7 linked regions of the Macaca mulatta genome follow. The main gene of each other region encodes a partner of the protein of the gene in region 5 in a complex. Links are inferred from orthologs where the notes say so. Each region holds a gene or a part of one and is shown on either strand. Other genes may lie near its edges. The genes, in order: NME7, TUBGCP5, TUBG2, TUBGCP4, TUBGCP6, MZT1 and TUBGCP3.

The links.
Region 1: TUBGCP6 (region 5) and NME7 share a complex: the UniProt entries of both Homo sapiens proteins name them as parts of the gamma-tubulin ring complex. The link is inferred for Macaca mulatta from reciprocal best matches to the Homo sapiens genes TUBGCP6 and NME7.
Region 2: the proteins of TUBGCP6 (region 5) and TUBGCP5 are in contact, whole or in part, in a cryo-EM structure (PDB 7QJE), measured with the Homo sapiens proteins. The link is inferred for Macaca mulatta from reciprocal best matches to the Homo sapiens genes TUBGCP6 and TUBGCP5. Residues at the interface, in NP_065194.3 of Homo sapiens: Glu290, Ala291, Ser292, Lys293, Arg294, Arg295, Cys296, Trp297, Glu298, Arg299, Val300, Gly301, Cys302, Pro303, Pro304, His306, Arg307, Glu308, Glu309, Pro310, Tyr311, Leu312, Glu314, Lys322, Arg325, Leu326; in NP_443135.3 of Homo sapiens: Asp211, Asp212, Arg213, Trp215, Leu216, His219, Val220, Val221, His222, Trp225, Ser230, Phe232, Pro233, His234, Leu238, His239, Ser240, Asn241, Leu242, Leu264, Val265, Thr266, Glu267, Thr268, Gln269, Arg272, Val302, Thr303, His304, Leu305.
Region 3: TUBGCP6 (region 5) and TUBG2 share a complex: the UniProt entries of both Homo sapiens proteins name them as parts of the gamma-tubulin ring complex. The link is inferred for Macaca mulatta from reciprocal best matches to the Homo sapiens genes TUBGCP6 and TUBG2.
Region 4: the proteins of TUBGCP6 (region 5) and TUBGCP4 are in contact, whole or in part, in a cryo-EM structure (PDB 7QJE), measured with the Homo sapiens proteins. The link is inferred for Macaca mulatta from reciprocal best matches to the Homo sapiens genes TUBGCP6 and TUBGCP4. Residues at the interface, in NP_065194.3 of Homo sapiens: Leu312, Thr313, Ala315, Gly316, Arg317, Ala319, Phe320, Phe323, Leu326, His327, Glu349, Pro390, Glu391, Ser392, Ser395, Leu396, Glu399, Tyr403, Ser455, Leu456, Leu457, Thr458, Gly460, Phe461, Lys464, Lys465, Arg468, Arg471, Tyr472, Glu475; in NP_001273343.1 of Homo sapiens: Met1, Ile2, His3, Glu4, Leu6, Leu7, Ser10, Gly11, Tyr12, Pro13, Gly14, Ser15, Ile16, Gln29, Phe31, Pro32, Phe33, Leu34, His35, Pro36, Glu38, Thr56, Ile59, Glu60, Thr63, Val66, Gln67, Gln68, Ile84, Arg87.
Region 6: the proteins of TUBGCP6 (region 5) and MZT1 are in contact, whole or in part, in a crystal structure (PDB 6M33), measured with the Homo sapiens proteins. The link is inferred for Macaca mulatta from reciprocal best matches to the Homo sapiens genes TUBGCP6 and MZT1. Residues at the interface, in NP_065194.3 of Homo sapiens: Met1, Ala2, Ile4, Leu7, Phe8, Asp10, Leu11, Cys12, Ala14, Leu15, Pro17, Ala33, Leu37, Val40, Ala41, Ala44, Leu45, Asn48, Ile70, Leu73, Lys85, Arg88, Leu89, Leu92, Val93, Glu95, Leu96, Leu104, Leu105, Ser109; in NP_001065243.1 of Homo sapiens: Asn17, Ala20, Val21, Thr24, Val27, Leu28, Glu30, Ile31, Ser32, Ile34, Leu35, Asn36, Thr37, Leu39, Glu42, Thr43, Leu44, Ile46, Cys47, Arg49, Leu50, Cys51, Glu52, Gln53, Ile55, Asn56, Pro57, Glu58, Ala59, Leu60.
Region 7: the proteins of TUBGCP6 (region 5) and TUBGCP3 are in contact, whole or in part, in a cryo-EM structure (PDB 6X0U), measured with the Homo sapiens proteins. The link is inferred for Macaca mulatta from reciprocal best matches to the Homo sapiens genes TUBGCP6 and TUBGCP3. Residues at the interface, in NP_065194.3 of Homo sapiens: Pro65, Arg67, Asn68, Leu71, Met72, Ser74, Phe75, Asp76, Arg78, Asp87, Glu90, Asp151; in NP_006313.1 of Homo sapiens: Pro9, Asn10, Val11, Leu13, Gln14, Glu25, Ala26, Ala29, Gln30, Phe32, Gln33, Val36, Arg37, Ile39, Gly40, Ser41, Phe43, Thr129.

Annotation. Positions count from the first base shown.
Region 1 is NC_133406.1:26,835,409-26,838,908, forward strand, and holds part of NME7 (nucleoside diphosphate kinase homolog 7), read right to left. Parts: intron 2,319-3,500; coding exon 2,211-2,318; intron 1,105-2,210; coding exon 938-1,104; intron 1-937. UniProt on the Homo sapiens protein: Possesses an intrinsic kinase activity. Displays 3'-5' exonuclease activity with a preference for single-stranded DNA. Does not seem to have nucleoside diphosphate kinase activity.
Region 2 is NC_133412.1:1,315,522-1,319,522, forward strand, and holds the start of TUBGCP5 (gamma-tubulin complex component 5), read left to right. Parts: upstream 1-1,201; 5' UTR 1,202-1,227; coding exon 1,228-1,373; intron 1,374-1,580; exon of another isoform or gene 1,581-1,708; intron 1,709-1,781; exon of another isoform or gene 1,782-1,800; intron 1,801-3,859; coding exon 3,860-3,913; intron 3,914-4,001. UniProt on the Homo sapiens protein: Component of the gamma-tubulin ring complex (gTuRC) which mediates microtubule nucleation.
Region 3 is NC_133421.1:67,018,198-67,020,594, forward strand, and holds the end of TUBG2 (tubulin gamma-2 chain), read left to right. Parts: intron 1-389; coding exon 390-476; intron 477-591; coding exon 592-741; coding exon of another isoform or gene 742-750; intron 751-984; coding exon 985-1,137; intron 1,138-1,220; coding exon 1,221-1,382; intron 1,383-1,501; coding exon 1,502-1,699; 3' UTR 1,700-1,897; downstream 1,898-2,397. UniProt on the Homo sapiens protein: Tubulin is the major constituent of microtubules, protein filaments consisting of alpha- and beta-tubulin heterodimers. Gamma-tubulin is a key component of the gamma-tubulin ring complex (gTuRC) which mediates microtubule nucleation.
Region 4 is NC_133412.1:20,780,586-20,784,085, reverse strand, and holds part of TUBGCP4 (gamma-tubulin complex component 4), read right to left. Parts: intron 2,647-3,500; coding exon 2,539-2,646; intron 1,521-2,538; coding exon 1,379-1,520; intron 1-1,378. UniProt on the Homo sapiens protein: Component of the gamma-tubulin ring complex (gTuRC) which mediates microtubule nucleation.
Region 5 is NC_133415.1:1,202,569-1,206,692, reverse strand, and holds the start of TUBGCP6 (gamma-tubulin complex component 6), read right to left. Parts: upstream 2,801-4,124; 5' UTR 2,237-2,800; coding exon 1,496-2,236; intron 1-1,495. Other genes in the region: polyamine deacetylase HDAC10, read right to left, coding at 3,223-3,249, 3,432-3,584, 3,667-3,849, 4,054-4,124. UniProt on the Homo sapiens protein: Component of the gamma-tubulin ring complex (gTuRC) which mediates microtubule nucleation.
Region 6 is NC_133422.1:67,480,684-67,484,847, forward strand, and holds the start of MZT1 (mitotic-spindle organizing protein 1), read right to left. Parts: upstream 2,801-4,164; 5' UTR 2,758-2,800; coding exon 2,679-2,757; intron 1-2,678. Other genes in the region: BORA (protein aurora borealis), read left to right, coding at 4,071-4,164. UniProt on the Homo sapiens protein: Required for the recruitment and the assembly of the gamma-tubulin ring complex (gTuRC) at the centrosome.
Region 7 is NC_133422.1:106,822,195-106,825,694, forward strand, and holds part of TUBGCP3 (gamma-tubulin complex component 3), read right to left. Parts: intron 3,489-3,500; coding exon 3,370-3,488; intron 2,666-3,369; coding exon 2,540-2,665; intron 1-2,539. UniProt on the Homo sapiens protein: Component of the gamma-tubulin ring complex (gTuRC) which mediates microtubule nucleation.

The sequences.
Region 1 (3,500 bases), on a different chromosome or scaffold from region 5:
CCCACAACATTAAAAGATTCCTGTTTATTTATCTAATACCTGTAATTTTTATCCTATTTCAAAGAAAGTGTTTGGTCTTCCTTTGTTACGAGGCATTCACCACCCCTCTGATCCATCACCCTTTGTGTACTAACACCCACACTGAGAATCCAATCACCTCAAGAACCATAAAGTGCTTATACAGAAAGACTATGGAAGTCACAGAAAGAGATATCTCATTACTATGAGAGTGACTCAGATGTTAGGCAATCAACTAGTCATTTGAGTAGCAGATCTCAAAAAATAGTGTGACTGATTTGTTTTTCCTATTGAATTAAATCATTTTTGGAACCTTTTATACATATAGCCTTAACTTCTACAAATAATCCCTATTTTAATTATAGCACCAATCACTCTACAGTTAAAAAAAAAAAAGTCCCCAAACCATACAAAATATAAGCTACAGAAATTAGATCCAAAAGAGATGACAAAGGACTTAAATTTTCATTTCAAATATAATTAATTCTAATCTCAGAAAGTTGAAATTCATAAATGTAGAGAATTTAAAAGTTAAAAAGTCATCTTGAAAATACTGAAAATCAATATTCAGAAGGAAAACATCAGAAGTCCTTGTTTTCTATAAGTCTAATTTTCAGCTGTATCTACAAGTTGTTCTTTCTCACTTCCGTTTTTTTCTTAGCCCCTTTTACAGATGACTGTATCTCTGAGATGTACTAAGTTGCATAGGAGACATAAATATGAATTAAGTCAGATGAGACATGTACAACTATGATATTATCAATTTTTTTTAATTGAAAAAAAGAAAAAGACAGAATGAAGACAACCATTTTCCAGGTCCTATCCATCCTCATATGGTTAAATACTCCCAGTCTTGATTCAGATTGACTTTGAACCCAAAGTTACAAAATGTAAAAAGATTATATAATTGTTTTCTTACTTTTCTTTCCTACTGCCCAGCTGGCGAGCTGTATATTGATCCCCATAGTCAATTAATACCAATTGTCGAGAAAAGACATTCACTTTGTTGCCTATAAATAAATCTTCCAAGTGCAGGCTATCATATTTGGTCCGCTTTAAAAAGGTGCGATGATTCTTTACATCATGCTAGAACCAGACACAAGAATATAACAAACAAACAAACAAAATTTATGAATAAGGAAAGTTAATCTTATCATAAGGTAGAAATAATTCTTAATTCTGTCTTATCAAAGATAAGTTATATTCTGTTTCTTTTTTGTTACAAATATAAATCATAATTTTTAATTACTTCCATATTTCTGAATCCAATCTGGTAATAACATAAAAGCTTTTTATTACACATTTAATACTCTTAAAACCCTGAATAGAAAGATCTGTTTATTACCAAATCATTTCAGTAGTCCTTACAAAATGCTAAAGAAAGAGTCATACACCCAAATTTCTGCTTTTTTGTGTACACAAAATCCCAATACCAAAAAGATCCACTTGTTAAAATTGTGTTGCCAATGAAGAAACACAAAGAAATAAACAGAAGCCTCTTAGCTTGATCCTCTCAATTTGACTTTTTGTAGCAGTAACAGCTTTCAATAATGAGGACATATTTATGACCATAATAATCCTTATCTATAATCACTTATTGGTTATTTCTTATCCAAAACATGAATAATCCCATTTCAGTCTTTTTTTTTTCTTTTCTTTTTTTTTTTTTTTTTGAGATAGAGGCTCATTCTGTCCCCCAGGCTGGAGTGCGGTGGCATGATCTCAGCTCACTGCAACCTCCACCTCCTGAGTTCAAGCCATTCTCCTGCCTCAGCCTCCCGAGTAGGTGGGATGACAGGCATGTACCACCACACCCGGCTAATTTTGTGTATTTTTAGTAAAGACAGGTTTTCACCATGTTGGTCAGGCTAGTCTCGAACTCCTGACCTCAAGTAATCCGCCCACCTCAGCCTCCCAAAGTGCTGGGATTACAGGCATGAGTCACCGTGCCCGACCCCCACTTCAGTCTTCTAACAACAACAAAAAAAATTTCCTATCTTTGACATTAAAAGTAAAGGCACAAGTTAACTTCTTATATTGAAATTATAATGAATATCTTTAAAAAGAATTTCCATATATATACACACACACACACACATATAAATGTGTTTTTAAAAAGCAATTATATAAAAGGCAATGGTTCCCATGTTCACCCCCTTTGCCGACATTCAAGCAAAGAAAGACTTATTTACCATTTCAACAGATCCATCCCCTGGGTAAAATAAAAGCTCATAACGTCGAAGAAGTGAAGCATTTGGATCATACCACTCTGCAATGAAAACGAATCTTTCACTATGACTCTGCAAAGAAAGACAGAAGAATTTTAACACTAACATATAAAGAACAAGCACTCTCCTGTAAGTCACACAAAATGAAAGCAAGAATTACCAATTTGCAAAAAACAAACTTACTCCTACCTATTGTATTGAATTTTTCTGCTTTTCAACAAAATATCAGTTATCAACACACCCTCAGAAATATTTCCTTTTAATTTCTCATATCTCAGAGATGACTTATGGATTGCTTATTACTTTATAGCCATCTAATCATCCTGAGTAAATTAACATTTTCTGAGAACATGAGCTCCTGATTTTACTGTGGTAGCAATTCAGTCCTTCTGAAAGCAAGTTTACATAGAGACTATCAATAAATTAATATAAGCATACATTTCTGAGGATAGCTCTCAATTATATGAAGTTTTGACTTCCCTAAATTTGAGAATCTAGTAGTATCAGAATATTACCATTAAAATTATAGTAAACATCTTTTTTCCTTAGTAATTACATATGATAGTATCTTTTTATAGAAATAGAGAATGTGTTAGTCTAGGACCTCTGAAAATAAATGTGAAGACAAGACTGAACATGCAAGAATTTCATTAAGGAAAATTCCTGTAATATAAAATGAGGAGGGAGCCAAGGAAGACTAGAAAAGCTGACAAAAAACAATGCAAGTTTGACACAGAGTGGTGGAGAGGTGCAAGCAAGGTTAAGTAGAATCATCCCAGATTGCTACACCCTCTAAGGAAGGTTCAGTAAGCCCATCAGGAAGTGCTAGAGCCAGGTGACTCCCAAGGACACGGAGGGGCCAGCTTTAGTATCCCTGTTCCTCTCAATCACTGGCTGGGAGCAGCCTTTGGGAAACAAGTGCTCAGCACAAAAGCAGCAGTGGATTTCAGAGAACAGCAGCTGGGACCCTTGGTCATTTAGGTTGCCTGTAGTTGGAGGTCTGTGAAGTACATTCTTAGGGCTACCACAGAGAGCAAAAAATGAAAAAAAATAAGTCAAAGATGGGTCCTTTTCCCTTGACTATCGAGCAGGATTTCCCATTATATATGTTAGTAAAAATACCCTCGCCCCAAAGGCCCTTCATTATAATAAGCAAATAAAAGCATAGGGAAGAAGGGAATCTAGGAGTTTTATTGCTAATTCTGGATTTGCCATCTGATGCTCTGGTTAGGGTAAATTTGGGGATTCTTTTTA
Region 2 (4,001 bases), on a different chromosome or scaffold from region 5:
CAACACAATAAATGTCTTATAAAATAAACTCACAGCTAGTATTATACTAAATGGGAAAAAAACTGAAAGCCTTTTCTCTGATCTGGAACAAAACAAGGATACTCATTTTCACCACTTATTCAACATAGTACTCAAAGTTTTAACCAGAGCAATTGGACCACAGAAAGAAACAAAAAGCATGCATATTAGAAAGAAAGTCAAACTGTCGTTGTTTGTAGATGATGTGACTTTATATTTAAACAAACCCAAAGATTCGTCCAAAAAACTGTTAGCACTTATAAATGAATTCAGTAAAGTTTCAGGACACCGCCGGGTGCGGTGGCTCATGCCTGTAATCCCAACACTTTGGGAGGCTGAGGTGGATGGATCACTTGAGGTCAGGAGTTGAGACCAGCCTGGCCAACATGGCGAAACCCCGTCCCTACTAAAAAATTCAAAAATTAGCCTGGCGTGGTGGCACACGCCATTTGTGGTTATGAAGTCCCCCAGAACCTCTGGCCAGGTGTGGTTGTGAAGTCCTCCCAGCACCTCTGGCCAGGTGTGGTTGTGATGTCCCCCAAGCAGCTCTGGCCAAGTGGGGTTATGAAGTCCCCATTCCCAGTACCTTCGGCCAGGTGGGGTTATGAAGTCCCCCCAACCGCCCCTGAGGAGCAGGCGGAGTAAAAGCGAGCCGGGACTGCTAGCCGGTCGGGACCGCTGCTTCGCTGATGCTGGTTGTGTAGCACGGATGTGCGTAGCGTGATTGTGTTGTGTGGATGGGGGCACTGAGATCCGCGGGGACCATCACTGCAAGGAGAAGCTGCATGGCCGGGAGAGTTCAGCAGCTGAGCGGGTCAGGGTTCCTGGAAAGGCAGGTCCCAACGCATTTCCCGACCGGGCACCTAACGGGCTGCTCTCAAAAGCACTGACTATCACCGAGGCTGGCCAGAGACCCTTAAGTATCTAATTCACGATGACACCAACTAACTCTGAGTACAGTAGAAAATGTACAGTCGGGCGACCAGAATATGCACACTCGAGCCGCCACCATGGGACTGCTCCAGGCAGTACCCACCACAGCAGGAGCTCGAACTGTCGCGAGAATAACTGCCAGCTTGCTAGTTGCCCGGCACGGGAAGGCGAACTCTCGCGAGAAGGCCGCCAGCTTCGGGGGCAACTGCCGCGGGACCTCGAACTCTCGCGCGACAGCAACCAATTCGTTAGAAGCGCGTTGCAGGCGCGCGAAACATGGCGCGGCACGGGCCGCCGTTGAGCTGGCTGGACGCGCAGCAGGAGCGCGACGTGCGGGAGCTCGTCCGGGGTGTCGCCGGCCTCCCGGACGAAGCAGACCCCAACTTCCAGCTCGCCCTAAACTTCGCCTGGTCCAACTTCAGGTGTGGGGCGCGGCGCGCGAGCGGGTCCCGGGACACAGCCCGGAGCCCGCGCGTGGGTCCGGCGCAGCCCGGGGTCGGGGTGCGCTGGGGCGGGGCATGGGGCTGAGGCGGACGCGGTCTCAGAGAGCCCTCGCAGGCCCTGCCGCCGCCCACTCCCCCCGGCCAGCGCCCTCGGCGCGGTGCTCTGCGCACCCCACGGTGTGTTACCTGGAACGCGTCCTGATCGTCACGGGGGGAAGCGCGGAACTGGGTTTCTTGCCACCGGGGCGCGCTCCTGCAACCCAGCGCTCTGGGAGGCCGCAGGCGGGACTCGAGGCCAGCCTGGGCAACGTAGCAACTCCATCTCTATAATTTTTTATTTTATTTTATTTTATTTTAATTAAAGAGATTGTATTCTCACTGACTCCTGCTCCCTGGTCAGCCCAGTGTAAGGTCTCTCTCACCCTGCTCTCCTTTTTACAAAACGCGTGTCATGACATTGATTTTACCTGTTATGACTGTCTCCTCCGCTTCCACTCCAACTAGAATGCTGCATCTCTGCACAGCGCCTGACAACGTAGCAGGCTTAGTCAGCTAATGCAATTTCTAATGCAGTTTCTCTTGTAACTAGTTTTTAAAGACTTACAGAATTTAGATGTATACGTGGAGTGAGATCTATTTTTCTTTATGGGAGAGGGAAATTAAACAATACTTTTATAGTCATTACCCATAATGAAATTACTAAGAGAATGTTAATGTTAATATTCTACCTGTTTAATTTCAGTAAAAATCTTGAATAATGAACAGTTTTTTAAAATCCGTAATTTTAGTTACTTTAATGATCATAGTCATAAAGTGTCTAGTTGGCTTATAATAGGAATACGGGGCTTTCATATTCTTTTAAAGCATGCCGAGTTTCCGAAGTAATAAACTGAATTCTTAAATGTGACTTACAAAAATAAACAATGTGTGAAATAGGTTATACAACACAAAAACTTAAATGCTGAAATTCAAGTTTTTTTTACTAATATTTCTAAATGACAGTAGGCAGATGGTCATCATTTTAGAGGTGGGAGAGACATTAGAGGTTACTGTTTCCATTCACAGGTTTCAGGAACTAAATTATAATAGGTAAAGTGGTGTACCATTCACCCATTTACTGGACTAGATTCATGTGTTTCTCAGTATTGTAATTTTTTTCTTTTAAGTACAGATTGCTGGCTTTGATACTAAAAAATGGGAAACAATTTTTGCATAGGCTATGTTATATACATATACATTAGTTGCATAGGCTATGCTATAATTTTATGATGCTTTAAACCATCAGAAAAATGAATAGTTCATGTTTACATTGTTGAAAATTGTGGCCATTGGCCGGGCGCGGTGGCTCAAGCCTGTAATCCCAGCACTTTGGGAGGCCGAGACGGGCGGATCACGAGGTCAGGAGATCGAGACCATCCTGGCTAACACGGTGAAACCCCGTCTCTACTACAAAATACAAAAAAACTAGCCGGGCGAGGTGGCGGGCGCCTGTAGTCCCAGCTACTCGGGAGGCTGAGGCAGGAGAATGGCGTGAACCCGGGAGGCGGAGCTTGCAGTGAGCTGAGATCCGGCCACTGCACTCCAGCCTGGGCGACAGAGCGAGACTCCGTCTCAAAAAAAAAAAAAAAAAAAAAAAAAATTGTGGCCATTTAGAATTCTAGGCCCTAGAAATTCAAAGATGAGTAAGATATAGCCTCTGTCTTTAAAAAAAGACAGAGATAAAAGGGATTTTAACCTTGGGATCTGGAGATATAATTCAGATATTTGTTAATTTGGATGAGGAAAAAATTATACTAATCTCTAACTGAAAAGTAGCATCTCCTTCCATTATAAATGAAGGCAGCAAACCATAGTAGTATTAGCCTACCTGTGACTTTATCGCCAGTAGAATTCACATACTGTTTTCACATCAGAGTTGTAGATATTTGTAAATGTTGTTTACTGTTACTTTAATGGTAGTTATTGTACCTACTGCTAAATCTTGTTATTTAATACTTTCATAAATAACATTTCTTGCCATATCATAAACTTCTTGAAATATTTGACAACTGTACCCCAGTATAATTGGATTCCTTTGTATTTCGTTTTTGGCATTTAAAAACATTATTCAGAGAAGGGATCCTTAGGCTTCAGTGGGCCTCACTATAGCATAAAAAGATTGGGACCACCTGATGTAGAATGTGTTCAGCTGGATTTAGATACAGGGTCTTATGGGAAGACAGAGGAGCCAGAGCCAAGGTTGGGAGGGTCAGGAAGCACCTGTGTGCTGGAGAACGGTTGCTTGCACAGTCTCGGACATGGTGATTATTTGCCTGTCTTGGTGGAGGTAACTGAAGACAAGGTACACTCCATTCTGGAAGTGTGTAGCTGAGTACAGAGCATATGGGGGATGTGGAGGGCCATGAGATGAGTTCACTTACCTGTGTGACAGAGTTGGCATAAGAATTGCATTTTGTCTTTATTAGATTTCATCGTTTCTTGGATGTGAACAGCCACAAAATAGAAAAAACAATAGAAGGGTAAGTCAGTGTATGTATGTACACATCCTAAAATACATGTATTTTCTTATAGATCTTTTTAAGATAGCTTTATAATCATTGTTTTTAT
Region 3 (2,397 bases), on a different chromosome or scaffold from region 5:
CTCTCTGTGGTCTCCCCAGAGCCAAGCACAGTGTATGGCACATGTGGGTACTCACGGGTTTGTTTACTGCCCTGCGTAGTCTGAGAGTATCTCATGATGCCCCAGAAACAGTACTTTTCTTTCTGTTATTTTTTATGTATATTTTTTACAGAGATGGCATCTTGCTGTGTTGCTTAGGCTGGTGTCCAACTCCCGGCCTCAAGTGATCCTCCCACATTGGCCTCCCAAACGGCAGGGATTACAGGCATGAGCCACCACGTCCAGCAGTACTTTTTTTTAAACTAACAAACCTACTTCTTGGCTTTGGAGTTCAGCAGGGGCTAAGCCAATATCTTATTTCTATGCCCATTTTATCCTCAAGATGCTGTGACCCTCTTCTGTCCCCGTAGGTGGTGCTGGACAACACAGCCCTGAACCGGATTGCCACAGACCGCCTGCACATCCAGAACCCGTCCTTCTCCCAGATCAACCAGCTGGTGGGCCCCCACTCCTGGACTCCTTTGGACTGGAAGCCCTCCTTGCTGGAGGGTCATCTGGGGAAGGAAAGTCCCAACCAGGCCGAGGCCCATGACATGGCACGCCTGTCCCCAGGTGTCCACCATCATGTCTGCCAGCACCACCACTCTGCGCTACCCCGGCTACATGAACAATGACCTCATCGGCCTCATCGCCTCGCTCATTCCCACCCCACGGCTCCACTTCCTCATGACCGGCTACACACCGCTCACTACGGACCAATCAGTAAGAGCAGCCTTCAGTGTCCCAGGCCAGGCCGGCCCTGGGCCCAGCAGGCCCTGCCCTAGCCTTTCTGTCTTCCCCACTGCCCCAGGAGCTGCCCTTTGCGGGCCCCGAGGCACTGTGCTCAGGGACTTTCTTGCTGACTTGCGCTCTACCCTCCCTCTGCCTTTGGCTTCTGCCAAGGAGAAGCCAAAGGGGGACTCTGCCCTGAGCGCTGGCCGGGTTCCTGTCTCACTGTCCCATCAGGTGGCCAGCGTGAGGAAGACCACGGTCCTGGATGTGATGAGGCGGCTGCTGCAGCCCAAGAACGTGATGGTGTCCACAGGCCGAGACCGCCAGACCAACCACTGCTACATCGCCATCCTCAACATCATCCAGGGAGAGGTGGACCCCACCCAGGTAGGGGAGGCCCCTTCATCCCGCACCCTGGACCCGCAGGGGTAGAGGAGAGGCCACCTCCACTGCTCGTGTGCCCACCCCAGGTCCACAAGAGCCTGCAGAGGATTCGGGAACGGAAGTTGGCCAACTTCATCCCGTGGGGCCCCGCCAGCATCCAAGTGGCCCTATCGAGGAAGTCTCCCTACCTGCCCTCGGCCCACCGGGTCAGTGGGCTCATGATGGCCAACCACACCAGCATCTCCTCGGTGAGTCTAGGTTTCTGTTCTTCTCAGGAAGAGTCTGTTCCACTGGCTACCTTCATCATCTTCCCCAAGTTCACTCCTAACCCCCTGGCTCGCATTTTGGAGATTTTCATCTCTTTCAGCTCTTTGAAAGTTCCTGCCAGCAGTTCGACAAGCTGCGGAAGCGGGATGCCTTCCTTGAGCAGTTCCGTAAGGAGGACATGTTCAAGGACAACTTTGATGAGATGGACAGGTCTAGGGAGGTTGTTCAGGAGCTCATTGATGAGTACCATGCAGCCACCCAGCCAGACTACATTTCCTGGGGCACCCAGGAGCAGTGATTTCCCTCCCCACTACTCCTGGATGGGAAGCACAGCCTCGACCATGCCTGCTCCCTCTGACCCAACTTCACCTCATGGACAACCCTTCTTGGTTCATCTCCAGCCCATGAGCTTCCTCCTGCTTCCTCCCTTCCATGCCCTAACTCTTGATATGCTTGTTCAGCTTTAATAAAGTAATAAAGCTTGGTTGTCAGTATAGCCAGGGCTTGATCTGTGAATACAGGGGGTGGTGAAGGGGTCCAGTTTCTAGGCCTCTGACAGTAGGGTGGCTTTCACGTCCTCCAACGTCTTACCACTAAGTCCAAATCTTAGTGTGTTCACTGTTTCCACTGGCATCCCTCACCTTGAACTAAGCTGTTTTACTAGAGTCAGCCCTTGTCTCAAGATTACAGAGCTTTACTGAGGTTTGCTGTCTCCTCAGTGCCTAAGGTTTGCCCCAGTGAGGGTCAATGTTGCCCCAACCTCTTCCACTCAAGGCAGAGGAGGTGGGGTCTACCGAAGGAGGGCACGCTACATTACGAGCAGGCCAGAAGAGCCGAGACTCCAGATTCCCAGTGCCCAGGGCCATGAGAGTTCCAGGAACTCAATCCAGTTCAACCTAACCTGATTAGTAGAAACAGAATTCAAGAGTAGGGCTGAGCACATCCTGAGTTACTTTTCTGTGCCAGAGAAATTCATGGGTTTGTTATCTGCCCCAA
Region 4 (3,500 bases), on a different chromosome or scaffold from region 5:
AGCTCTAACAAAAACGTGGGGGAGGGACAGATAATAGTAGTATAATGTTGATGGTTACTGAAGGTGAATAATGAGGACACACGATTTTGTTATGGTCTATACTTTTGTTTATATTTAGAAATTTTTATAATGAAAATGAAAAAATACATCTAAACTTGATTTCTTCAAGGGTGTTGAGAGCATATCAAGTTAGGAGGTAAGCGGACTGTGGGCCTGTAGGATTCTGGGAGCTAAGGATCTTTGGAAGTTCTTTGCACAGGGTCCATGCCACTTGCTTAGCTGGGCCGTGGGCTCTGAATTTGCCATAGAATCTTCTTCCTGAACCAGCCTCATCTTTTCCAGTTTATGCCCAGTCTATTTTACCCTAAGCTTCTCTACCTGAAACAAGTAGAGAGGGCTAGGAAGAAGAATAGGAAGGATCAAGAGTGGCGGCTAGAAGAAGAGATGGCCTTTTTGTTTCCCTTTTCTTCATTCCTCTGGCTTCACAGAGTATGACAGCTTCAATCCTCCATCCAGGCCAGGGGCCAGTTCTCTGACCAGTAGTTGGGTTTGGGAAGTTCCTAGATACGGTGTGACCACCAGCCACATTTGCTTCTTACCTCTTTTCTGTAGATCTCTGGTTTGGGGACATTAGGTCCTGACCAAGGCAAGCAACAGCACTTGGCAGGCTCTCATGATAAAGAGCGAGGCTGACCTGACAGCAGGAGACTCCAGCTTGGTCAGCTCCTTTGTTCCACCCCCAAGCTTGGCTGCCCCTGTCGGCTCTCCCTTACAGAGGCAGTCTTCTCCCCAGGGGCTAACATCCACAGCAAACATGCAGGCTGGAGGACTTTCCCAAGTCAATCAACAAAAAATATTACAAAAGTGAGGGAGAGACCTTGTCAGGTGTGATGGAATTATCAAGGGCCATTATCTCGACATGGTGCCTGAGACCTTATTTTCCAGAGCTCACAAACTGGCGGCCTACAAACTGCTGCTGATTTGGCAATTTAAAAAAACGATGGTTTGAAGTAGATATGCTCTCCATTGATTCTAACACCCACCACTCCGTGTCTCGTATCTGCAGCTCCACTTATGAATGTGATCAGTCTAGTCCCTGGAGGGGTTGACAACTTTTGATTTACATATTGTTAAAAACTACTTGGGTGGCTATCTTGCTCCCATTAATTCTTTTTTTTTTTTTACGAGATGGAGTCTCACTACGCTGCCTAGGATGGATTTGAAATCCTCGGTTTAAGGGATCCTCCTGCCTCAGGCTCTGGAGTAGCTGGGATTTCAGGCATGTGCCACCACACCTTGCTAATTCTGTCCTGCTAGTTTCTTCCCTTACAAGTAAGGTGGGTCGTTATTTACCTGTGAGACACTCAGAAATACTCACTTTTCCAGGACAGCTGGGGTGAAGAGAATATGTAGTGGCCACTGTACTTTGTAGGAAAGACCTAGGGCTGCCCAGCCAGATGCAGGGGCTTCCCGGGGAGAAGTTTCCCGAGAAGGCCCTTCTCTTGCCTGAGTAGCATCTGCTGTGATAAAGAAAAGAAAAGAAAAAAAGAAAAGATAACAACTTGGTTAATCTAGAACCAGAGATTCAACAAGTGAATAACATTAATGAAACTAGAGCTCACAGGAGTTCAAGACCAGCCTGGGCAATACAGTGAAACCCTGTCTCTACTAAAAATACAAAAATTAGCTGGGCGTGGTGGCTGTAGTCCCAGCTACTCAGGGGGCTGAGGCATGAGAATTATTTGAACCTGGAAGGCAGAGGTTGTAGTGAGCCAAGATTGTGCCACAGAACTCCAGCCTGGGCAACAGAATGAGACTCCGTCTCCAAAAGAAAAGAAACAGAGCTCACTGGAGTCTGCGATGTTAGAAGCTTACAGCGGACACAAAGAAGAGGGCAAGGACACTTTTACGTGAGGTTCTCTTGGGAGGTCTTCTAGAGATTCTTTCCTCAGCCTTAAAATCTGGGGGCTGGGCCGGGCGCGGTGGCTCAAGCCTGTAATCCCAGCACTTTGGGAGGCCGAGACGGGCGGATCACGACGTCAGGAGTTCAAGACCATCCTGGCTAACACGGTGAAACCCCGTCTCTACTAAAAAATACAAAAAACTAGCCGGGCGAGGTGGTGGGCGCCTGTAGTCCCAGCTACTCGGGAGGCTGAGGCAGGAGAATGGCGTAAAAACCCGGGAGGCGGAGCTTGCAATGAGCTGAGATCCGGCCACTGCACTCCAGCCTGGGCAACACAGCAAGACTCCGTCTCAAAAAAAAAAAAAAAAAAAAAAAATCTGGGGGCTGGAAATAAACAGGGACCATTCCAGCAGCATGACAAAAAAAAACCCAACCCCCCAAAAACATGGCCTGGGCATCGCGCTTAGCCTCTATGGACTTCTGGACTTTCCTTTTCTTCTCTATAGAATTATAGTACTGCATTACCTGATTTCTAAGATCCAAAATCATATGGTTTCTATGGTGGGGGATGGAAGCAGAGATGGGAAAATGGATGACCAGCAGGAACTCTAAGGTGACAGGGAGGAACAGCAAACCTTTGTGCTCCTTTCCGTGATACTCAATTGTCAAGTGCAACAGAGGGAGAAGGTTGTCATCATCTAGCAAAACCTTGTGTGCTGACTGTTGAAAGGCCACATTCACATCTGCAAGAAAGAACACGGGGGCTGACAAGGATGCTTGGCTCCGTAACAAACCCAGACTCCTCCAGCTTTCCACTTCTCCCCCAACATGCCCAGTGCTAACAGCAGGGCACAGTGGACATCTGTTGCATTTGTCTAACATCCATCCATTCTTCTCTTCTTGCTGACAAACTGCCTCCTGATTTTCCTTGGAGAATCATCCCTATTCAGTACAGTTCACATATTTCCAGTGGGTTAGTGCTAGACAACACCCGATTCTAGGGGTAGCTGGGTGATGTAGGCATGATCAAATAGAACGTAATACTCTACTCTGTTATGCTATATTGTTTAGGGATATTAACATGACCAAGCCAGGCCAATCCAGAGGCTCTATTCAGACTCTAAAAGAATCCAGCTCTTTTTTCAAGATAAACAGGGGCTTAGTAGGATGTAAACTTGGCTAGAGACTATCTGCTACCATACAGAGCAGGCCTGTCTGAGAAGAAAGAGGTGAAAGATGGAAAGAGACCAAGTCCTAAAGGTGCCACCCGCGTCACTGGATCAAACTTTGCCGAAAACCATCATACGTCTGAGCTTTACAGTTATGAGAATCGATACATTATTTCTTTCCTTTTGCTTTGCTTAAGTGAGTTTGAATTGGATTTTCTGATATTTGCAACCACAAGTACTTATATTTGTACTATGTAAGTACAGTGGACATCTATGGTTTTACTGAGTTAGAAAAATGATCAGCCTGTGTGTATGTATTTTCTCACATTTCTTTTTTTGGATCTTTACTCAACTCTATTCATGCAGTATGAATGGAAATGGCCATCAGTTGGTCAAGGGGTGGACACTTCACTGAACTAGGCATAGCC
Region 5 (4,124 bases):
AGCTCAGGAGATTGAGACCATCCTGGCTAACACAGTGAAACCCCGTCTCTACTAAAAACACAAAAAATTAGCCAGGCGTGGTGGCGGGCGCCTGTAGTCCCAGCTACTCGGGAGGCTGAGGTGGGAGAATGGCGTGAACTTGGGAGGCGGAGCTTGCAGTGAGCCAAGATCGTGCCACCGCACTCCAGCCTGGGCAACAGAGCAAGGCTCTGTCTCAAAAAAAAAAAAAAAAAAAAATCAAATCAAATTTAAAAAAATACAAATACAAAAAAATATAAAAATTAGCTGGGTATGGTGACACACGCCTGGAGTCCCAGATACTCAGGAGGCTGAGGCAGGAGAATCACTTGAACCCAGGAGATGGAGGTTGCAGTGAGCCGAGACCACACCATCGCACTCCAGCCTGGGCAATAGAGCGAGACTTGTCTCAAAAACAAAACACAAAACTGCTGTACACCAAGACATTTGCTGTAGCATTAGGTATGTTTATAAATTGTCTAGCTATCTCACAGGAATAGAATGACTAGTAACAATGTATCCTTTGGGCAACACTGATAAAGCAAGAAAATACAAAACTCAAATGAGGAGCTACACGGGACCATGTTGGAAAGCCTCAGGCAACAGACAGCAAAAGCATATCCAATTGCACGTATCACAAAACGTGAACACTTTTGCCACACGTGGCTACTGAGCACTTGAAATGTGGCTTGTGGGGCTGAGGAACTGAATTTTTTATTTTGTTTTAATTAACTTAAATTTAAATGGCAGCTCTAGAAGGCAGAGGAGGCTTAATGACATGCCCCGTTAGGTAAAGATGAAAAGCAGCACGTTGCTTTGGCCGGCAGGTGGGCAGCACTGTCCTTGCAGAGCAGGGTGGCCGCCAGTAAGTCCACTCCAGTAGCCCCACCCCACAATGCAGCCACCAGACTATCCCCCCTTTTACCAGGATAAAAGGAAGGTCACTGGGCCAGGCGCAGTGACCTTAATTCCAGCACTTTGGGAGGCCGAGGTGGGTGGATCAACTGAGGTCAGGAGTTGGAGACCAGCCTGGCCAACATGGTGAAACCCCGTCTCTACTAAAAATACAAAAATTAGTTGGGCGTGGTGGCTCACGCCTGTAATCCCAGCTATGCAAGAGGCTGAGGGAGGAGAACTACTTGACCCTGGGAGGTGGAGGTTACAGTGAGCCGAGATCACACCACTGCACTCCAGCCTGGGCAACAGAGCGAGACTCCATCTCCAAAAAAAAAAAATTAGCCGGGCGTGGAGGCAGGTGACTGTAATTCCAGCTACTCGGGAGGCTGAGGTACGAGAATTGCTTGAGCCCAGGAGGTGGAGGTTGCAGTGAGCCAAGATCACGCCACTGCACTCCAGCCTGAGTGACAGAGACCCTGTCTGAAAAAAAAAAAAAAAAAAAAAAAAAAAAAAAAGAAAGTCACAGAAAGCATTTTCCAAACCCCAAGAAAGGTGAAAGAGGAAAAACCAAACATTCTACCTTAATGGCCAGCCCAGAGAGGTCTGCATTGTCTGGCACGGGGGGCAGGCCCAGTCGGACGTCCATGTCGTCAGTGCGGCTGTGCACAAGGGCCCCGAAGAGCGAGACCCGGGTGTCTCTCTCAAACCTGTCACCACAAGAGTCACCAAATGAGAAGAGCCCGACGGTGGGCAGGCCGGTGCCTGGAGCAGCCTCCATAACCTGAAGTGTTTCCTGGATCATGCTGTGACACAAACACTCTTCTCTGGAGATCAGAGACTGAACGTCCGTCTCAAACACACTCAGGTGGTCGCAATCATAGCCGCTATACGGAACGTTTCTCCCCACGTGCTTGTTGTTAAGGAAGTAGTCTCGATTTCTCGGCAGAAGTTGAGGGGGACCACTCCCTGCCAGCTGAACCAGGAGGTCCAAAACAGACCCCACCTCCAAAAGCGGACAGCAAGGGGCTGCTTCAAGCTCCTCCACAAGCTCCTCCAGACGGTCGGCCTCGAGGCCCAGGCCACCCACTCTCAAGTCAAAGGACAACATGAGGATCTTGTTTCTCGCTGGTAGTTTTGACATGTCAGGCTGCAGCTGTTGAGTCTCATCTTGAAAAAGATTTGTGAAAAGCGCATTGTAGGCCACCTTCTTGAGGCTCCGCTTTGCCCTCTTCCGGTTCACACTGCGCTGGCCCAGGTGAGTCTTGGCAGCCGGCAGGAGGGCCTCACACAGGTCGTCGAACAGCTGCGTGATGCTGGCCATGCCCCTTCTCAGCTCCGGGCCCCCGGCGTGTGGGAAAACACCTCACCCGGGCTTCACTCACGCTCCGGAAGACGGAGTGAGAGAGGGTCTGAAGGGGCTGAACGACAGGCGGCCTCTCCAACGCCGCAGCTCAGAACGGGTATTTTCTAAAGGAGGTTTTGCGGTTGCTCTACTCAGAGTAAACACGCCCTGCCCTCCCCAGCCCAAGCACGCTGCCCGGCGCCCGGCAGCCCCCCAGAAGCCAGCTTGGCGTTTCTTCCAATTCAGTAGCCCTCAACCTTTAGGGAGTCACAGAACCATGGCAAACCCGAAGAACGAAACGCGCGCCCGCGCAGTACAGCGCACGAACTCGGCTTTGCCCCGTTCTTCGGGCCCCACGAGAGGAGACGACCAGGAGAGGGTGCCACTCCGAGACTCGTGGGCAGCGGAGAGTGTGGGGGCGCAGCCGGGTGGTTCCCGGCCTGCACGTCCACCCGTTCTCCAGGCGTCACCTGTGGAAAAAGCCCACCGCTCCCGCTCCCGCCGCCTCCGTCGCGTCACAGCAGCGCGAGCGTGAAGAGCGCTAGGGCGGGCGCGCCGGAAATACGTCACGGGAACGCCGGCTGCGCGTGAAAGTGAGACCCGGGCCGCGGCGCACTTCCGGCCTGAGTCCCGCACAGCGGTTGAGAGATCGAGGCCAGCGTGTTCAGTAAAGGAGGCAAAACCAGGGTTTCGTTTGACCCATGTTTACTAACGGCGCAAGGGCGGGGAGGGAAGGGCAACGGGGCGCAGGGGCCGGAACGGGACCGAGGGTGGGTTGCATGGGCTCGGATGGGACGGGCCAGGGCGCGATGGGTGGGGCGGGGCGAGGCGAAGTGAGGGGTGGAGCGGGGGAAGCACGGGTGGGAGGGGACGGGGGTGGGAGGGGGCGGGGTTCCGTGCCCCGGAGTCGTGGGAGCCGCGGGCTTGGGGTCCGGATCGCGGCAGCGAGGCGCTGGCGTGCGGTGTCATTTCTGCGGCGTAAATGCACCCACCTTGGCCGATTTCAAACCACCAGGTGAGGACGGCACTACAGGAGGAGGAGCCGGGAGGAGGCGCGCAGCTGGCCTCCTGCACTGGAGCTGGTTCTCAGCACTCACTTGCCCTGCCCTCCCCACCGACCTCTGCGGCAGAGCCGGGCCCCAGGGCAGAGCCATGCCTCCGCAATCAGCCTCACCTGCAGCATCTTCCACTGAGGCTCCAGCTGCCCTCTCAGGTACATCAGAGCCTGGACGTCCTCCGGGGAGGCCACAGAGGAAGGGCCTAGGCTAGGAGGTGCCTCTCCACGCAGCACCCGGGCCAGGATCCCTGCTAGCTGGGGTGTGGAGTCCTGGGCCAGGGGCGAAGACGGAAGCAGTCATTGGTCCTTCCCCTCATCCCACCCCACAGCACCTCCACCCTGCCCAGCTTACCTCCTCCAGGAGGGCCAGGACTCGGCCCCCTGCCAGTCCCCGAAGCATGGCAGCCAGGAGTGCAGCGTGGGGGCCCTGCAGGCCATGGCCAGGCCCTAGCGCCACTAGCACCAGGTCAGGCTGGAAGCCATAGGCCAGGGGCAGTACCAAGCCCAAGATGCAGCTCAGGAAGCCACCAGTCATCTGTGGGGACAGCAGAGCCCAGCTCCTCATCTACAGACACCTGCTGGCTCTGGCCCCCCAACCTCTCAATCTCAGGACCCCTGGAGCAGGAGCAGGGAGACAGGAAGGACCAGAGGCCTGCTATCATGACATGCCAGCAAGCAGCAGCGGCACACATCCATGGGCTCCCCAGCACCTGCCTTGCTGCGGGGCGTGGTCACTCACCACTGGCAGTGGCGTGGCAACATGGAACATGGATAGGGCGGCTGCCTCCTTGCCCCCGATGTTCAGCCACA
Region 6 (4,164 bases), on a different chromosome or scaffold from region 5:
GACCAGCCTGGCCAACATGGTGAAACCCTGTGTCTACTAAAAATACAAAAATTAGCCAGGCATGGTGGCGGGCGCCTATAATCCCAGTTACTCCAGAGACTGAGGCAGGAGAATTGGGTCCTATCCCCAGCTTGAACCTGGGAGGCAGAGGTTGCAGTAAGCCAAGATCACGCCACTACACTCCAGCCAGACTCAGTCTCAAAAAAAAAAGTAAGTGTTATGATAAAGACTCTCGTAAGGAATAACTATCAAAATTAAAATTCAGATGCATAGGATGATTTGAGAGGAAAACAAAAATTAAAGTATAAAGCAATCAACAGAGAATACCTAACATATCAAAAAACTGAAAAGCAAAGGAGGCAACCATACACAGTGGGTTGGGCGGGGGGTGTTGTTGAAAAGGCACGACTATTTTAAGAGAATGCAGAATTTTAAGGATATAAGGATGAAAGCAAAGATCTCATGCAGACCGTATTCTAAATAGGCAGGGATAGTTCTTTTCAGAGTGAGCTACACAGATAACTGATTAATACAAAGTCAGCCTGCTGCCTCCCATGTCTTTAACAAAATCCTTCCATTTCATGATCAAAATGCAAATGTAGCCAAGAGTTCTGCAATTCATATGACTTAAAGGGGGGGTTCACAAATCCTGCCATTGAGAGGAGAAATGGTACTCAAAGTTTTGAAAATTTCACTTTTGATCTCATGGGTTGATTTAAATACTGTGAAACACCACATCCCCTCTCCTTCATTTTTTGTTTTACTTCACTTTTTCATGCTCTTATTCTCTCTATAATCTTCATTTTACACCAGGTTTTCTCAGAAAAGATCTTGATGATGTAGCCAACACAAATCATCAGTTCTCAATTGTACATCAGTGGTTCCACCAGAGAGAAAATGTGAGTTTTCTATTCAAATAGGATCCTACGACCATATACATAAGGAACCTAAGTACAGCTAACATAAGAAAACAGGCTAGAAGTGAGGTCTTTTACTCTACCTTTTTCCAAGGAAACATACAAGATAGTAAATTTTTATACACACAGACACACACACACACACACACACACACATACACATGCATAAATTCACTTACAAAATAAAACTAGTAAGTGTTGATACATCGAAAAGGATAGAAAAATAGGCTGAATATTAACATTCTCAGAAAAACAGCAAGGTAGATACTGAACAAGTGAAAAATTAGATGCAAAGTCTCTAAAAATGTTAATTCTTTGAAAAAGGAACGAGCAGCCAGTGCAGAAAAAGCCAGCAGCCCTTCTGCAGGGGCTATGTAAGAAAATGAGGCCGGGTGTGGTGGCTCACACCTGTAATCCTAGCACTTTGGGAGCCCAGGTGGGTGGATCACCTGAAGTCAAGAGTTCGAGACCAACCTGGCCAACATGGCGAAACTCCGTCTCTACTAAAAATAAAAAAAAAATTAGCCAGGTGTGGTAGCGGGCACCTGTAATACCAGCTACTCTGGAGGCTGAGGGTGGGAAGAGTTGCCTGAACACAGGAGGCGGAGGTTGCAGTGAGCTGAGGTTGCGCCACTGCACTCCAGCCTGGGCAACCACAGCATGACTCCATCTCAAAAAAAAAAAAAAAAAAAAAAGCCTACAGTGAAGGAGAAAGAGATACAGGAGTTAGAATTTCATAGGGTTATCTTTTAACAGAGAGGGAAGCTGACTTAAGTAGCCTCTGGAAAACGTCTAGGCCCACTGCAAATGACATTTAACATCGATCAAACACTCATAATACAGGTGGATGTGAGTAAAAAGGAGACAAAGGAGACTACAAGAGAGATGACATCGGAAATAATATAAAAATAATTGATCATCTTTGATATATTTTTACATGGTTGTCTTATTTAAATATTCACAACTCTTGGAGGCAGGATTTTATTTTAAACAAACAGGCTCAATGTTTAAGTATCTAGTCCAAGCTCACCACAGGGTTATAAAGTGGCATTAGAGAGTAGAGAGAAGGTAATCGGCAAGACACTAATTTCGTGTTCTGCAACGCTTGTGTAGGCTCCAGAGCTTGTGTAGGCTCCAGGGCCGAAAACAGGCGACACCCATAGCACTTGGGCACTGGCGTCACCCGCTTCAAGAGGAAACTAGGATAATTCTGACGAAGGGGGGAACTTAATCATTCGCAGGATATTAAAGGCCGCCTACTTAAGTGCGAAGAACACGAGGCATAGCGGTGACCAAACACCTGGCCCCTGTCCCCGCCAGGATCCCAACCTTGGGGATCCCAACCTTGGGGACCCCCGAAGCGCCCTGCGCGGGAATCCGGTGGGACGCGGCGCGCAGGAGGGAACGGGTGTACTGGGTGGGGTGGGCGTGGCGCTGTCACCGCAGGAGATCGGGCGGGTAGGGCGGACCTGGGACGCGGGATAGAAGGGGCGCGGCATTCGCGCGAGAAGGACGCGGTGCGCAACCGGCTGACTAGGGGGCCGCAACGTCTGGCGCGCGCGACAAACTACGCAGCGGCGGAGACAACTCTCAAGGGATAGGGCCATCAGTCCTGCGGCCCTGGCAGGTCCCTTCCAAAGATCTTCGAAGATGCCGTTTGGGGCACGAAGGGGACCTGAAGTCCTCCCCAGGCTCAGCTCCGCCTGGGGGCCTTGGCTCTGGGAAGGCAGGCAACGTAAAAGGAGCGCAACTGACACTCACCGTCCATGGTCTCCCGCACCGCATTCAGATTCGCCGCCGCGGCCGCCGCCGCCCCCCCAGCGCCGCTGCTACTCGCCATGGCTAAGGCCGAGGGAGGCGGGAGAAGGGCCTGACCCGGAACTGGAGCGCCTTCCTCTCTCCCGGGCAATCACACGGCGCGTCTCCGCTCACGCCGGGCAGGCTCCGCCCCTCGCGCTCGCCGCCGGCGTGAGGCTGCGTTGATTTGAATTTGGAGCCTCGTTCCTCTGCGCGGAACGTGGAGCCAGGAGTTGCTATTCGAATTTTCTACGCGGCCTCCGTGCAATTGGTTGGTTCGCGGATGGCGGGACGACGCGATTGGCCAGTCGCTCACAAGCCCCGTGCCCTGGTTGGCCCAAGACAGCGCGGAAGCGGGGAGTTAAAGAGTCTGTGCCTGACGTGGAAGCTGGCTTGGCCCCCGGGAGCTCCCTGTAGTCGGTATTGGGGGCTTCGTTTTCTACGCACCGGTAGGTAGGTTTTTTATGGTCCCTGACCTTTCCTCCTGTCCGAATGGAGAGGTTTCTTTTCCCAGCTCCTGACTTGCCTGCCCGCTGGCCCCTGGTGAATGGGAGCAGTCAGGGAGTAGGTGTGGAAGACAGGGGCACCAGAAAGAGTGGCCACGTAGGGTGGGGGGCGACGCCTCCTCGGCGCTCCGTCCGAGGAAGCCGGCTGCATCTCAACCTTACAGAAGTAGACTCTTCTCCACCCCACCCCGCCAAGTTGTAGCCTCCTTTGATTGGAAATAATGCAGAGTCGCTTTCTATCCTGGGAGGGGTGAGGGGGAGGTCTTGGCGAAAGGAGGATTTTTGGAGGAAAGGGGATTCAAGGCAGTTAATTTCCTAGCCCCTGTCAATCATACTTCTCTGGCTAGGACTCATGTGTAAGAAAGGCACAAGCTTCTGCATCTCTTACCTGCTTGCTACAAAGAATTGTTTAATAGCAACTGTAGTTGGATGGGGTATCCGAAGAATGTTCATAGTGTTGAGACGTGAGATGATGAATTTTAAAAAAATTGTAGCTATAAGTCCTTTAGTTGAGAAGAGATTTGTGCCTGTTGTAACCTTTAGATCTGAATTCATATTTGATTGCTGCGTATAAGCCACTTCACTTCTCTGAGCTTGTTAATTCTTTCACAGAATAATATCACTAATAACTTACTGCTATAGCTTTCAAGGTTATTTCGAGGATCAGTTGAGAACATTTATATGTGATACTTTTTTCATAAGCTGTATCATAGCCCCAAGAGTGTTAGGTTTTGAGTTGTTTTTGTGACACATTTGTCGAATACATTTTAATAGGTAAAATTAATATCTATGGGACTTTGTAATTTTAACATATGTACTCTTGATTTCTCTTTAGTTTTCTCTCTGTGCTATGGGAGATGTCAAGGAATCTAAAATGCAAATAACACCAGAAACTCCAGGAAGGATCCCTGTTTTAAATCCTTTTGAAAGTCCTAGTGATTATT
Region 7 (3,500 bases), on a different chromosome or scaffold from region 5:
GATTCTCATAAGAAGCACACAACCTAGATCCCTCGAATGCACGGTTCACAACAGGGTTCACGTCCTATGAAACTAACGCCGTCACTGATCTGACAGGAGGCAGAGCTCGGGCGGTCACGCCTGCTCACCCTCCACTCACCTCCTGCTGTGCGGCTCAGTTCCTAACAGGCCACGAACCAGTACCGGTCCACAGCTCAGGAGCTGGGACCCCTGCTCTAACACATAATATGATACTACTATAGTGATGATCAATCCACCTCCTGTAATAAAGTATCTACATAACGGTTTATTTCGTTATCTTGTATTGATTTTGTGTGTGTGTCTTGCTTCATGTCTACCAAGTTAACTAGGACTTATCAGTGACACTTGCATAAGATGATGATATAAACCGAGACACGATCAAACACTCCCTTCGATAAAGGGGACAGGGACTCTAAAATCACAGCTGGCTGCTGAGGGGATGGCCCATCAGTCCCACCTGCCTCAAGAAAGAGCCAGCTCACTTCTCTCTGCCTTTGCAATGAAGGAGAATGGTGGCTGGTCATCGAGCAACTCACTAGACTGGGAAACAGAATAGAAAACAGTCCTAGCCTGGGGAGCAGCATCTTTATACGCATTCTCTCCCCATCTTCACAATCTGGAGGTAATCACTACTCCACTCTACGCAGGACGAAACTTGTGGCCAACAGAAGATAACCTGTGCAAGATGACGTGACCATTAAAGGAGAAGTCCAAACTGGAACCCTGGGCTGCCTTGCTTCAAAGCTCAAAGTGTGACTCCTACTCAGCAGCCATGCTGCCACAGCACACTCCTATCCACTAGGCACGCTCCTCCCCACCAGCCACGCTCCTCCCCACCAGCCACACTGCCACACCACAGGCCTACTCACCCACCACGTTCTCACCCACCAGCCACGCTCCTCCCCGCCAGCCACACTGCCACACCACAGGCCTACTCACCCACCACGTTCTTCCCCACCAGCCACGCACCTCCCCACCAGCCACACTCCCACCCACCAGCTACACTCTTCCCCACCAGCCATGCTCATGCTCCTACCCACCAGCTACACTCTTCCCCACCAGCCATGCTCATGCTCCTCCCCACCAGCCACGCTCCTCCCCACCAGCCATGCTCATCCTCCTCCCCACCAGCCACACTCCTACCCACCAGCCACGCTCTCCCCACCAGCCACACTCCCACCCACCAGCCACACTCCCACCCACCAGCCACGCTCCTCCCCACCAGCCATGCTCATGCTCTTCCCCACCAGCCACACTCCCACCCACCAGCCACGCTCCTCCCCACCAGCCACACTCCCATCCACCAGCCATGCTCCTCCCCACCAGTCACGTTCTTCCCCATCAGCCATGCTCCTTCCCACCAGCCACACTCCTTCCCACCAGCCACATTCTTACACACCAGTCAGGCTCCCACCTACCGCCCAGGCTCCTACTCACCAGCCACACTGCCACACTACTCGTCTACTCACCAGCCACACATTCTTACCCAGCACCCACACTCCCACTCGCCAGCCACATTCCCACCCACTGGCCGTGCTCCTACTCACCAGCCACATTCTTACCCACCAGCCATGCTCCTCCCCACCAGCCACACTTCCACACTACACGCCTAATCAACAGCTATGTTCTTACCCACTAGCCACACTGCCACACCACGTGTCTACTCACCAACCACATTCTTATCCACCGGTCATGTTCCTGCCCACCAGCCACACTGCAGCACCACACTCCTACCCACCAGTCACATTCCTACCCCCTAGCCACACTCCTACTCACCAGCTACACTGCCATGAGTCCTGTGCTATGCTGGGCTTATAGTACACAGTTATTTTGTGAGTCAGTAATTTTTGGAGATTTCATTGACAGTAATTACTGTCCAATAAGCAACCTATGGACAAGACCACATGCTGCTTAGCCACGAAGAAGGGCTGGACAGTGGAGATGCCACAGCTCCTGTCGGCTGCCCCCTGTCAGGCTCCACCAGGAGGAGAAGCAGCAGCAGCTCCCTCCCAGCCATGCACTGTGCCACCGGCAGTGCCCACCCAGGGCTGTCCAGACAGCCATAGCCGGATTCCCATCTCCAGCTTCAGCAGTGTTCCCAAATCCTGCCTCACCGTGCTGCCTGGGGAGTCACGCAGCTGGGAGTGTCCCCTGTTAGCAGGCCCCATCCCAGCAGGGCCCCTCCTCCACCTTCCGGAGGAGGCAGCAGCAGCTGGGCAGGGCCCCCCTTGAGCGTTTGGAATCGGGCAATGCCAGCTCCCCATGGCCAGCTCTGTCTCACCATTTTCTCTGTGGTTTACAGTCCTCCAGCAGCTCCTGAGCCAACCTGCTGCATTCAATGTCCTCATCAGCACCTACTGTGGTTTCTACTTTCTTGAGTGGACCCTGACAATTGACTCTCAAAGTTGCTTTACTTGGAAAGAGCCGTAGGAGGAGCTATTTCTCAGTAAGATTTCAACTAGAATAAGCGTTTCCCAAAGTACGCGGCATCCCAGCATCCTAGGAACCATGAACACACCTGCCCAACGAGTCCGAATGAGCGGTCCAGGCTCCTCTGGTCCGTGTATCTTCTGATTTTATTATGCAACCATCCCAACTCAGAGAGCCTGACTGCTGTGTCTCTCAAAGACCTACTTAGATTTGCCTAAAAGGTAAATACATCATATGTTAAACATTAAAAGTCAATACCAGAGTTTTAACTAGTATTTTTCTCAAACACTTACGCTTTTAATATTATAATCCTTAGGCTTCAAGACATAAAAGTTAAAACTAAGATCCCATCACTAAAAGGAAGGAAAGCACATCAAGTGACAGCGTGATGGAAAGCACCTCAAAGGGCACCATGAGCTCCCTTCACACCACCCTGCAGTTGACCTGCGGTGTGGCAGAGATGGTCTGTGATCTCAGTTACGCTGTGAAAGGGCTAAAAGCCCCAGTGTGACTCACACCACAAGAAATGGGCATGGTAAAGGCAGGTTATGGAAAAAGGAAGCAAAAGTGGGTGAAGACCCCTGACCTGGAATCCTGCATCAATGCTGAAGGCGCCAAGGGACCTCTGTCCCCTGGATGCCTCAGCCATCACACAGCAGGATGCAGAAATCAGCTATGGGGCGGCCCCATCAGTAGATGCGAGGAAAGGAGGCACACATTAATCACAAAGGGTCCCCATAATAAAACTGAACGAGCACAATGGACAGAAATAGAAACCAGGATTCCACAGTGGAATTCCACCTCACACTCGATTCGCAAAATCCCAGTACCACCTTATCAATCAACAGCTCACTATCTGGACTTCATGACATTTTTTTTCTTTCTGAATATTTTAAATTAGATTTTATGTGACCGTACCTTTCCTTCTACTTTGTAACAATTTTCAGTGTTGTTCATTTTGATATTTTTGCCGTCTATGCCCTGAAAGACGTACAAAATGTCCCTTACCAGAGCTGCTTCTGTAATTTCCATAGTACCTGCAAAATCAT